Neurospora crassa OR74A: one gene and its partner. The protein of the gene in region 1 purifies or fractionates together with the protein of each later gene. This does not show direct contact. Links are inferred from orthologs where the notes say so. Each region holds a gene or a part of one and is shown on either strand. Other genes may lie near its edges.

What was found. Proteins that work in one complex are often made in the same cells at the same time.
Region 2: the proteins of NCU02635 (region 1) and NCU03055 purify together in Saccharomyces cerevisiae (affinity purification with mass spectrometry; 4 studies listed by BioGRID, with this or other methods). This does not show direct contact. The link is inferred for Neurospora crassa OR74A from reciprocal best matches to the Saccharomyces cerevisiae genes MNN9 and MNN10.

The regions. Positions count from the first base shown.
Region 1 is NC_026501.1:3,003,551-3,009,583, forward strand, and holds NCU02635 (mannan polymerase complexes MNN9 subunit), read left to right. Parts: upstream 1-1,902; 5' UTR 1,903-2,500; coding exon 2,501-3,601; intron 3,602-3,667; coding exon 3,668-3,688; 3' UTR 3,689-4,347; downstream 4,348-6,033. Other genes in the region: NCU02634 (hypothetical protein), read right to left, coding at 1-235, 480-990, 1,071-1,140, 1,266-1,316; pex4 (ubiquitin conjugating enzyme), read right to left, coding at 4,915-5,234, 5,366-5,534. UniProt on the Saccharomyces cerevisiae protein: The M-Pol I and M-Pol II complexes possess alpha-1,6-mannosyltransferase activity and are probably involved in the elongation of the mannan backbone of N-linked glycans on cell wall and periplasmic proteins.
Region 2 is NC_026501.1:4,355,040-4,360,851, reverse strand, and holds NCU03055 (alpha-1,6-mannosyltransferase subunit), read right to left. Parts: upstream 3,470-5,812; 5' UTR 2,438-3,469; intron 2,275-2,437; 5' UTR 2,258-2,274; coding exon 1,840-2,257; intron 1,780-1,839; coding exon 1,491-1,779; intron 1,436-1,490; coding exon 772-1,435; 3' UTR 11-771; downstream 1-10. UniProt on the Saccharomyces cerevisiae protein: Required for polarized growth and efficient budding. The M-Pol II complex possesses alpha-1,6-mannosyltransferase activity and is probably involved in the elongation of the mannan backbone of N-linked glycans on cell wall and periplasmic proteins.

The sequences.
Region 1 (6,033 bases):
AGACATGACAATGACGGTTGGGGGTAGATAGTTCAAAAGGTTGTCGACATATTCGTCGGTGGCGGAATCAAGCATCGGAATCGTAACTGAGGATTCAAGAAGATCGTTGAGTAAAGGGTAGGATTTGCCTTGGGCTTGGGCTTGGCCTCCGGCACGCCCTTGGGTGCCTTTCAGGGACTCGAGGAAGTTCCTTACAACGGCAGCCGCATCCGCCTCGGCATTCGTAGCATTTGCCCTGTCAACGAGAACTATATTAGCACATGTAATGGCATCGGAGACGCAATTTTGCGGAAAGCAGAGGGACGCCATGTGCATGTCAAATTTTAGTGCCTCCATCTAGCAAGTAACAATACAGTTGCACCGTTCTTGTTGCCCTCTGCGCCATAGCTTGCTCATGTTTGGTTGAAGTAGATCAAATGATGTGCGCGCCAAAGCAACCCAAACTCCCAAAACTCATGTGACGGGAAAACAGCACCTACGCTCTTGCTCCATCTGCTCCTCCTTCTCTGGCGTCCTCGCCCTCCCTCCTGACATCACCACCAGTGGCGTCGGGACCAGCGCCGCCAGTACCGCCCTCGTGGTGGGCATTGGGGTCTCCGTGGCCCTCGACGTCTTCCATTGTCTCGTCGTCATCATCGTCTCGGCGGTTGTTACCACCGCCGCTGCTGAGTGAAGCAAGCTCCCTGTTCACATCCACCTCGTAGCCCTGCAGAAGCTTGTCCACGATCTCTCCAATCTTCAGATCTCTTGGGCTCAGGAAAGACGGGTCGCCGTTAGGACTCTGAGGCTTCGATTGCAGCCAGAAAATATGGCGCTGTGATGAGGAAGAGAACTTGAGCGAGAAGATACGGCCGTTGGTCTTGGCGGAGGCCTGGGCAGGAGACTTGGTGTCGTAGGGAAGGAAGTGTCCGTCCTCGGGGATCATGACGAGGTCGAGCTCGGGCTCGTCCGCAGGGGCATCTCTAGGGCGCCAGCAGAAATGGATGAAATCTGCAACATGAAATGGTCAGCTCGTGTCACGGAAAGGAGTCGGCTCCCACAGCACTAGCTGGAGTTCATGGTCCACATACCATCGTCGGAGTAAAGGTAGATGTAGCCGGGCCTGGCTTGGGGCGTGACCTTGTACGGCTTCGACGTTTGCTGTGGATATGAATGTTAGTTTCGTTGGAATAACCAGACTAGTCGGCGAGGACAGGCGACAAAGTGGCCGAGAAAAGTGGATGTCATGGTGGGCGGGGGAAGCTGGGAGGAAGGGTGGTACGAACATCTACGTCGCAAATGCCCGCCTTGAACGTAATAATGGGTGATATCGGCATGGTTGATGCGCGCGCTGGTGTCGGTTGTGGAAAGCGTGTGTGGCTAGGTGGGAAATCGAAGCCGGCAAGGGGATGTCAGGTCAGAGTAGAAACAGTCGGCTCGATGAAGCTCGGATTTCGTGGTTGATGATGTTGCTGCTTCGAGGTACGATAGAGGCAATCCGCAATGTGAGCTCGGCACCTGGAGCTAGAGGCACTGGTGCAAGGCTACAGTTGCTCTGACGTGGGCTGCCGATGCCGCTGAGGTGCCGTCACCCAGGACAGCTGCTGGCCGGCATCCCCCACCCTCCCCCTCTCCATCCCGTCCCTTCTGCGCCTCCAGGGCAACTTTGACGGCAGATGGCGTTCCCAGGTCGCCCTGTAGCCTCCACCTAAGGACTAGATGTACCTACATACCTACCTAGAGGTAGTCTAGAGGGTCTCCAATCGCTGCCTGTCCCTCCGCTTCGCCTAGCAACCTACCTAACGAAAGCCCCCGGCTTGGAGTTGGAGAAGTCCAGTTGCAGGCTGGTGGAGTGCTTCGTACGGGATCGACGTCGTTGCTGCCACTTCGGTTCTCACTTTCCTTTCCACAGTTGCGCACGACCAAGAGTGTCGCCAGTTGCCTTGCCACGATTGCCAGTCGCGACTGAGACCCGAAGCTGTCCAAAATGCTGCTGGAGCGACCAAAGCCAGCGGACAGGAATTGCCTGTACCGTTTCAGATTACATTGACCCATGTCAGCAGCCATTGGGGTTTCCCGGTTCTGGCACGGCGCTGCACTGAACCCCCTTTCCCCATTTCTGGCCACTGCATTTGCGGTTTGCGCCTTGTCTTCTTTCCAGAAGCCCAATTTTTCCTCGTCCCCTAAATTCCCCCATCCCGCTCGAGTTGCCAATGCCCCTGGCCGCCCCTCGACCCCGACTCGATTGAGTGGCCGACTAAAAAAGTGTCCAGGACAACACCGACACCGGCTTCGACAACCTTCATTTGGCCGACGAATATATACGCGTAGCTCCCATTATCGCGTAGGAAGCTAGGAGCAAGAGCGCTACAAACAGTGCTATAGCATTGTCTTTTATCCCCACAACCGAAAGAGACCACGGCCATACACAAGAAGCCAACCACGGACGACGGGAACGCGCGCGCCTTCGAACCCAGACGACTATATGATTACTTCTCTTTGATAGATCCTCCAACATCCCATGGCGCGTCCATTGGGGCCGGTTCGTCTTAAGAGGACGAGCCCGGGAACGATCGCTGTTGGCATCGTCCTCGTAATCGTCATCCTCTACCTTCTAGTATCCCCCTCAGCTCCCGACTTCTCTGCCGCTCGCAAGGCCACAGCCGCGTTGCATCCTCTCTCTCCGCCGACATCACCATTCCGCAAGTCAAGCGCTGTCGGCGGCAAAGCAGGTCCTCCACCAGTAACACGCTACAACCTCAACAATGTCACCATTACAAACGACCCCGTTGGCAACCGCGAGAACGTCCTTGTCCTTACGCCCATGGCCCGCTTCTACCAGGAGTACTGGGATAACCTGTTGAAGCTCTCGTATCCCCACGAGCTAATCACACTGGGCTTTATTCTACCCAAGACCAAGGAGGGTAACGCGGCCACCATTGAGCTCCAGAAGCAGATCGCAAAGATCCAGAAGCATGGACTCGAGAAGGAGAGGTTTAAGAGCATCATCATCCTACGACAAGACTTTGACCCGCCCATCCCGTCCCAGGATGAGAGCGAGCGCCACAAGATGGCAAATCAGAAGGCACGCCGGGCTGCCATGGCCAAAGCCCGCAACTCGCTCCTCTTTACGACTCTCGGGCCCGACACATCGTGGGTGTTGTGGTTGGACGCCGACATCATCGAGACACCTCCTACTCTCATACAGGATCTTGCCAGCCATAGCAAGCCGCTCACGGTGCCCAACTGCTTCCAGCGGTTTTACAACGCGGAAAAGAAGGCCATGGACGAGCGGCCCTATGACTTCAACAACTGGCAGGACAGCCCGACCGCGCAAGAGCTGGCTTCTAAGATGGGCAAGGACGACATTCTCCTCGAAGGTTACGCCGACATGGCAACCTACCGGGCCCTGATGGCTTACATGTATGAGGCGGGTGCGGATATACACACCGAAGTGCCTTTGGATGGTGTAGGAGGTACGGCGTTGCTGGTGAAGGCCGAGGTGCACCGTGACGGAGCCATGTTCCCCGCGTTCCCCTTTTACCACTTGATCGAGACGGAGGGCTTTGCCAAAATGGCCAAAAGACTGGGCTGGCAAGCAACTGGTTTGCCCAATTACAAGGTGCGTCTTGTGTGTGCTGTGCGCCATGTCAAGGTGGGATACGTCGGACTAACACTGAAACATTAGGTTTATCACTACAACGAGTGAAACATTTGCCGGTATCGAGTTTTACACCGCGTATCCTAAGCCGCCACTGGACGCAATAACAGTCTCTCTTTGACGATGACAGCGTAGTGTCTGGGCCTTCAGAGATGACTACTCAACCTTTGTCCTATTCCTCATTCGTCCTCGAGCTGCCTAAGGCCATAGGCAAGAGTCTGGCTAGTAACAGTGGAATTTTCTGCCTTGGAGATGTTCAATTTCACAGCATCCAGAGTTGCTAGGCCCAGCAACTGTGGCGTTCTTCTAAGTTCTTGTAAATTTTTTGATGAGTTCTGGGTTATGGGAAGGAATGTGGGAAGCGAAAAGTGCACAGCTGGAGGGCGCGGTTCAAATACACGTCTGATGTGTGATGTGCCAGACGCAACCTTGTGTGATGATCAAGGTTGTCTGCTCGTTGTCGAGAGAAGAGCTCTTTGCTAACTCCAAAAGCTCTGAGCGACCGGGGCAAGGAATCTTATAACAAACCTTATCTGGTCAAGTTTCCAAAGACATAGGGTACAGCGACGACTTCTGACGATATATACTAGACTATGGGCGAGGAAACATAGGGGACTTTTGAAGTTCATCTTTCCTAAACTAATAGCATAATGAAAAGTAAGGGGTTGCGGTTAGGTTCCTTGCTGGCATCAAGTACAGGTTGGTATATCGCTCTGTTCTGTTCTTTTGTGACTAACAACCGTAGCCATTTTCTAATACAGTAAGCATAGACCATCTCCGATGATTTGGAGCGATGTCTCTTTCTTTTGTATATACATAGTAAGGAACCATGACCAGTCACTGCACAAGTGTCCAGTTGTTGTGCATCTCTACAAGTTCATACATGGCAGCAACGTGGCTGTGGCGAGTACCAATACCACTTGCCCCTGATATCTAAGCGTATATCTCAGGAATGATCTATACCAAGCCCACAGGCGTTGGCTGGCATGTTGGAAGATTCGCTACAACAGCAACATAAGGTCTGGAAACATGAAATATCATCTGTTGCCTGGAGGGAGCAGAGCCACATGACATACTCATAAGCGCTCTTCGTATGTAAGAGGCTTCCACAGCCCGCTTGAGCTACTAGCCAAAATAAATCCAATGGTCTATTTCCCATCCCACGGCTATCCAATCCAGCCCCCCCCCCCCCCCCCTATACCCTTTCTTTACATTCTCCCCTCCATCCATCCCGTACATTCTACACCTCTATCCCTGCCCTCTGCCCAACTCTTTCAAGACCCCTCATACCTCTCTTCCTCAACCCACAACTCCACCAGCCCTCTCGCCGCCACATGATCCCCTTGCCTTATAAGCGCCGCGACATCCACATTAAGCGGACTGTCAATGCCTGGACAGCTCAACAACAGCCTGATGGCTCTCACGCACTCCAAAACGCTGTAAGCGGGCGTCCATGCTTCTTTGAGCAAGTCCAGACAGATCTCCCCCGTGGTAAGGGCTACGTTGGCGTGCACGATGGGGGTGATGAATTTGATGGTTGGTGGGTGGAGGGGGTAGGTCGGTGGGAGGGTTATGTGGAGGAGCCAGCGGCCTTCTGGAGATTTGTGTGTGTTATCGTTAACAATGGAGGCTCTTTTGGGAGAAGGGGCGAGGTAAACATGAAAAGGGAAAGGGGGATGGATAAGAGGGAGGGAGGGGAAAAAAAACCAAAGATAAGAGACATACCATCATAACCACCACCTACCCCCTTCCCGTTAATCACGGCCTCCCAAATCAACAACTCATCGTCGTTGATGGGACCTAACCGCTCGACGCCCTTCTCTTCTTTGGACTCGATGTTGCTCCAGGTCGTGAGCTCTTTGATTAGGCGCTTGGCTGCGCTGCGGTTAGACATTGTTTATATATATGTGTACGTCTGTGTATGCGTGTATCCTTGTCTGTGGTGTATGTAACGTATACTCCGGTTTGTTTGTTCTGTAGCGCTTTGTATGATAGTTGAGTGTCCTCTCAATTTGGTAGGGATAATTATTCTTCCTTGTTCAGCGTTTCCAACGGAGCTGCCCGATGGTGCCTTGATGTGATTCCGACTCGTTTATCCAAGAGCAAGACAGACACGAACGAACGAGATTAGTCAAGCTTCGTCAATGCTATCCGTAAGGTCGAGTCTTCAGTTGCGCCAGCGCCAGTGCTAGTGGTCGGTCGTTCGGTACTCGGTAGTACGCTATGAAAGTATAAATGATCCACAGAGGTAAACCCGCGTTTGAAACTGAGAGCAGGTCGACGAGAAACGAGGGAGCCCTTTGGGGAATAGACTTGCGTATCCTCGTTTGGAAATCGTGTCCGTGAAGTGGATGGTTCTCGCACCGCAGTTGCCGACTGTGGTGTCGTCGCTA
Region 2 (5,812 bases), about 1.4 Mb from region 1:
AAACTTGCATGCCGTATCTGTCTGGTTCCTGTTCGCTGAGCCCATTCACCCATGTAAGAGACAGCAAGTGCTGTTTATAGATTGAGCCAATGCGCCTTGATATGCCTCTACTACACGTCGCTGATGCTCGATCCCTTTGCCATACCTAGGAGTGACAGCTGCTGACGTATGTTCGTCTACTTTGTACAAATGCGATATATGTGTAGCCACAGTAAAGTCCGTACGTAACTCTTGGTGCCACCACTTTCCCTTCACCCAGCCTGCGTGAAGACTTCGGAATAGAAACACAAGGAAGACTTGGCGTTGGACATGACAATCATTATTCGTCCCCATACATAAGTCTAAGATGAGAAGCCACACCCCATAATTCAAATTGCCCACCGGCTAGTAGGACTCAGGTGAGTGACTCGAAGTGCAATGGGAACAGAATCGAGAAGAGAAAAGGGCCCCGCCATTTCCGATCGGGGAACCAAACATTATCATGAATATTTTCTTTTTCCAGCAATGAAATAGAGAACCTCCTTTCTCAAACATCCCTCATTTTGATGTAATAGGCGTATACAAAATTGGGGTATACAGAATTATATAAAGACAACATGGAAAGTAACTTGATTATAGACGTAGTGTCGCCATTTGTCGGCCAAACCGCCTCTAGTTGCTGGCGGCGTACCGTGGAGGGCTCAACACAACATTAACTTCGAGCGATCGAATAGAAACGTCGTGAGTATCGTGTCGTTCGCATCAGGGTTTCAAGACTGTAGGTGATGTGTTTTAGAACTTGACCTTCTTTCCGGTCAACTTGAACCAGATCCAGCAAAGGAGGTCCTCCTTGAATCGTTCCCACAACGACCGGTTGAGGTGATAGCTCAGCTCGCGGAAGTTGTACATCTCACCCCAGCAGTCTCGGCCCCATTCACATCCGGCCATGTTGACCAGGAAATCCCGATCCTTCTGGTCGTAATGTATGCGCGGATCAGTGCCCTTTTCAGAGCAGGCGCCTGTAGGGAAACTGTTGATCATGCGCTGCGGAAGGAAGGCCGTACTCTTCCGAATCCAAGGTTGCGCAGTGTAAAGCTGCTCCAAGGCATCTTGCTCCTTGTGTTCCCACTCCATGTGCTTCTGTTCGTATGCCACAGGATCCCACCAAACATCAAGTAAATGATCCGTCCAAGTGCCGCGGCGCATGAAGAAGGAACCCAAATTGAATCCAGAGCAATCCTGCGACAACATGAGGTGAATCGAGTTCGGGTTGCCATCTCCAATCGGACTTTTCGAGAGTTCGTCGAGGTAAGGGTCGGCCGGGGGGTGAGAGATGTTCAACGGATTGTACTCATTGATGTCGCGGTAGGTGACATCCTCGATGTGGTCGAAAATATGGTCCTGCAGAGACTTCGATGGCTCCATAATGAAGGTGTTGAGGTCAAGCCACCAAACCCTGGGAGAAAATCAGCCACGGATCACATCCAGGAAGCGACAGAGTGGGAACTTACCATTCTGCCTTGGGATACTTTCGCAGAGTGGAGCGGATGAAATCAACCTTTTCCCAGCTCTCGCGCCATTCATGCGCATAGCGTTTCTTTGTGCTCATGTCGACAATCTCGAGATCGTATCCCCACTTGGCAACGTATTTCTTCTTGTTGCGAATCGAGTCCCTCTCGATTGCCCATTCCCTGGCGCCCTTCCACTCCATGACACCACCGCCAACGTTGGCAGCTAGAATGATGACAAACTTTTGACCCCCACCAAGCCATGATGTTCTTCGGTAGTAGTAAACCAGAGCTTTCCAGGGTGTCAGGTCACTGTATGATCGATCCAAGGTGGGGGGTTGCAAAGACTCACGAGTGCTGTAAAAGATGATGTATCCGAGCAGGAACAAGAGGGCAAAGGCTAGCAGCATCTTGGTCCTCCTGCTCATCCTCCCCGTGATGCCTCGTATCCTGCCGAGTCGTGGCATGTTCCATCGACCTTGGCCAATCTTCTCTCTCTCGGCGCCATGGGTGTTGTCGGCCTTGAATCGGGGCAGCGAACTTGATATCCGACGCATGTGGCGGCTAAAGAAGCCCTGGTTCTGTGTCGAGAAGGACTGGTATGCGGCGCCGCCCATGTTTTTTTGCCTTTCCCACATGACGGGCGTCCCGTTGGATCCGGCGTAGGCCTTGGTAGGACTCGATCGACCGCTCGGGCTGAGGTTGTTTGTAAGGCCTGGACTTGCCCAGCCACCACCGGGAACGGGAGAAGGACTGCGGGACAGCGACATTGCAGTGATCGGGGTGCCTAGAGCAGACGGAAGGACCAAGCGACAGTCAGTAACACGCGGATGACATCGGACAAGTGCCCAGCGGCCAGACGGGTGAAAGTGAGACGGCGGCCGTGAGACCGCTGGTGGCAGTCACGGGCGTGGGACAGGGCAAAAAGACAACAGGGGAAGAACACGTACCCGGGATGGGCGAGAGGCTGTTGGGGTCGTAGTTGCCGTGATGGGGCTCAACCCCAAGGAGGAGGCCCGAGGGAGATCGGCGATTGTCCAATCGGAGTTCGCTGGGAGGGTTAACGGCGGACGACCGTCTTCGGTGATGGGAGCGGGCCGGAGGGTCGCTGTAGGAGGACGAGGTCCCGTTGCCGTTGGGGGAAAGGGTCGCCAGCTTTGCGGATTTGCGACTTCACCAGGTGGCACTATGGGCCCTCTGGTGATATCGCGCAGGGGTGTAGGGGGGTAGCTGGGCTTCCTTGCCGTGGAGGCTCAAGGGCCCAAGCCAGAGGCTGACGGACGGACTGACAAAGTGACGGCTGAATCCACGTTGCAACGGAGGGCCGCCTGACTCGAGATACGGTACGTCGGTACGTAGCGGTTGGTGGTTACGGTGGGCTGGCTGGCCTTGGTGGCTGCGCTGCGTACGGTCGGATGGGTGTCCGTGGTAGTTAGGCTCTACCCAAAGAAGGCAGACTGCGTGTACTGTCGAATACTGAATGTGCTCGTGCGGTACAACCGAGAGGATCTGGTCGTCCAAGAAGGGGATGTGGACGGATGGGGATGGGACAAAGGGGACCAAGGACCCGGTGTGTCTTGGAGACGTCCGAGTTTCGGGTTGGGGTGCAGGGCGCGCAGGCTGCTGTTGGAGGAAGAGACCCGGCGCCTGTGGTGGCTCTGGATGGTAGGCGGGTGCTGCAGAAGCGGCACCTGGACACGATATGCCAACCTTGAACCCAGCCGGGCAGCTGTTGCTTGAAGATGCCCGGATTCCCTTCGGCTGTATGCCGGGCAGATGTCGTTCAGTGGATCGCTCGCCGCGCTCGATTACCTAACGGTTGCTTGGATTATGCGTCGGTGTCTTGGTGGACGGGAAGAAGAGGTAACAAACGAGATCTTCAGAGACAACTCAACGCAGATTGTTTCACTAGGAGAGTGAATCTCTTGACCGTTTCAGCTATGGAAAAATTCCAGTGACCGTGGGCTAAAAATCACTTTCAGATGAAGAACAGCCCTGCCCGTCCACTAAATGGCCAGCGTGGACAAGCGTGTTTAAACCTTCCATCCTCCCCAAATTCATCGCGACCCCCCGGCCGTCCCCAGATATTCTAGGGGCTTTCTCCGTCAACAACATTTTTTTTCTCTGTTTTAGCGGCCAACTTTTCAACAGCTACCCACGCCAAGATTGCCCCGACACATGCAGGGCACCACCCAGGGCCTGTTCACTGCGACCCCTGTCTATTTCTTGGAGTCTAGGTACACAGTACACTACGGTCCAGGGTGGTTGCGACTAATTGCGACACCTGGACGGTGATGGCATGCAATTTCACCTAGAGCGGGAATCCTTAACACGTTCTGATAACGGCTCGCGGAAGGCCCAATCCTTTTCCTGAATGCCTTCACCGTCTTTAGACTTAAATTTTTCAAAGCATGGAAAGGGGGAGCAGACGCTAATGTTGAACAGGGATGTCGGGCGTGGACTTGACCTGCTTTCGTTGGGTGCCTTGCAGCCTTCACGGTACCGGCGGGCAGTACAAGCGCATTGGGCATTGGACCCCTTCAACTCTCGGCTTTTTTTTTTTTTTCTTCCTCGACAATCCTGGGGCTGTACTGTAGGTAGTGTACCTGACGGCTCTGCAACAGAACGCAGGAGCTAATGACAACGTTCCAATCCAACTCATCAAGCGCTTGGGGGCAGCAACTTGGGGAATTTGAGGGAGACCTTCAACTTCTCCCGAAACCGTTTTGCTGACTGATTTTTTTTTTCTTTCAAAATCCCCCTCTCAGCCCGGCCAAGGGCACTAGTTACAGAAAAATTACCGGATGTGGGACAAAGTACAAACATGTTTTGGCTTGCAGTCTTCGGCCGATTGCGCAACAGAAAGCTAATTGACCAACCCCCCCTGCTTGAGATGGTTATCTCTTGGCTCTGATCCGGCGCTACGGAAGACTGACGCGGAGTTGGTTCGCTGGGCGAACTGGGCGATTCTTTTGCCCCTTGTCTAAGCCAGAGCCGAATAATGTTGCGGGTGATGTGGTGATGTTCGCAATTTAAAGGGGGTCAAATCTCCTTGTCTCCCCTCCGTTGTTTCACCATTCTAGCACCCGCTCAAACCTGGTCCTCAACGGAGATAGAGGTCATGGGGGTCTGCACTTAATGAACGACTATGGGGTACCCCACGGCACGCCATCTCGATCCCTACCTAAGATGATGCTAATGACGATACATTTTCTGGATGATAGGTGGTAACCTATGGCAGAAATGGCATCTCGACCTCCAGATGTCAACTCATATCGAGGATGGCTACGGTACCCATGAACCTTTAATGGTTCACTGTGGTGGCGTGTAGCAGAACATCGCTGGTAACCTACCATCGGCTACTAAACTTTTAGCATTATCAACGGAGATGGCAGACCAACTAGACGTACTCTCGTAGGGGCCCCACGATAAACTGGATCAACTGGCGGAGTGATTCCTGACGATCCTCCTTTTCTTGACCACCCCAGGTGTCCTGGTCTTGAATGAGAGGACGCTGGAGCTACTCGGTAGGTGGCAATCTTTGCTAGAAGCTTCAGAACACTGATCATAGTCTTCAGCCCCTGCAATAAGAGGAAGCCAAGCTCATGGCCTAGCCGCCCTGATGGTTGGACAGTTTGTTTGTTAAACACACATAATGGATGTGGAAGAACACATGTCCATCTTCAATATCCATGATGCAAGTCTTCTTCAATATCAATTAGATCAAAGCCACCAAGATCAACCGCCGCCATCTATTGATACAGCAGAATCGACAACATACAATCCATAAAGGTTTGTTAGCGCAGTTCTTGTGACAGGGTCTACAAAGTCTTACAGAAAAACAACGTGACAAGGACATTCAATATGAAAAATCAAGTAGAGTTTGTAAAGCCTCCAAAACGCAACTTAGTAGTTGATACCAACTTCTTGCACATGAGAAGTGGTGGAACGGTGGTTGATTACGAGGAGTGTGTTGTAAAGTCCCACGCTAACGAACCTTTCTAAGGAGGAGAAATACTTACCTCTAAAATACAACTACAGGTTCCTCCTGTCCAAAGACAAGACGTTTTTCAATGAATCAACTGGAAATTATCATATGGCTTTCACAATGCGACCAAGACATCATTCTATGTTAGTCTCTATCACATGACCTCCAACGACAAGCTTCAGCGGACCCGCCCCACAATTATATAGGTCTCCTCTCCTCGAACTTTTGTAAGAGGAGGTCTGTTACGGTTTTGCGCGAAAACGTCGTCGGCTGCAGTTGTACACATACAAATCGGCCTCAACAAAGACCAGAAATCTACAAATACTTACAAATATCT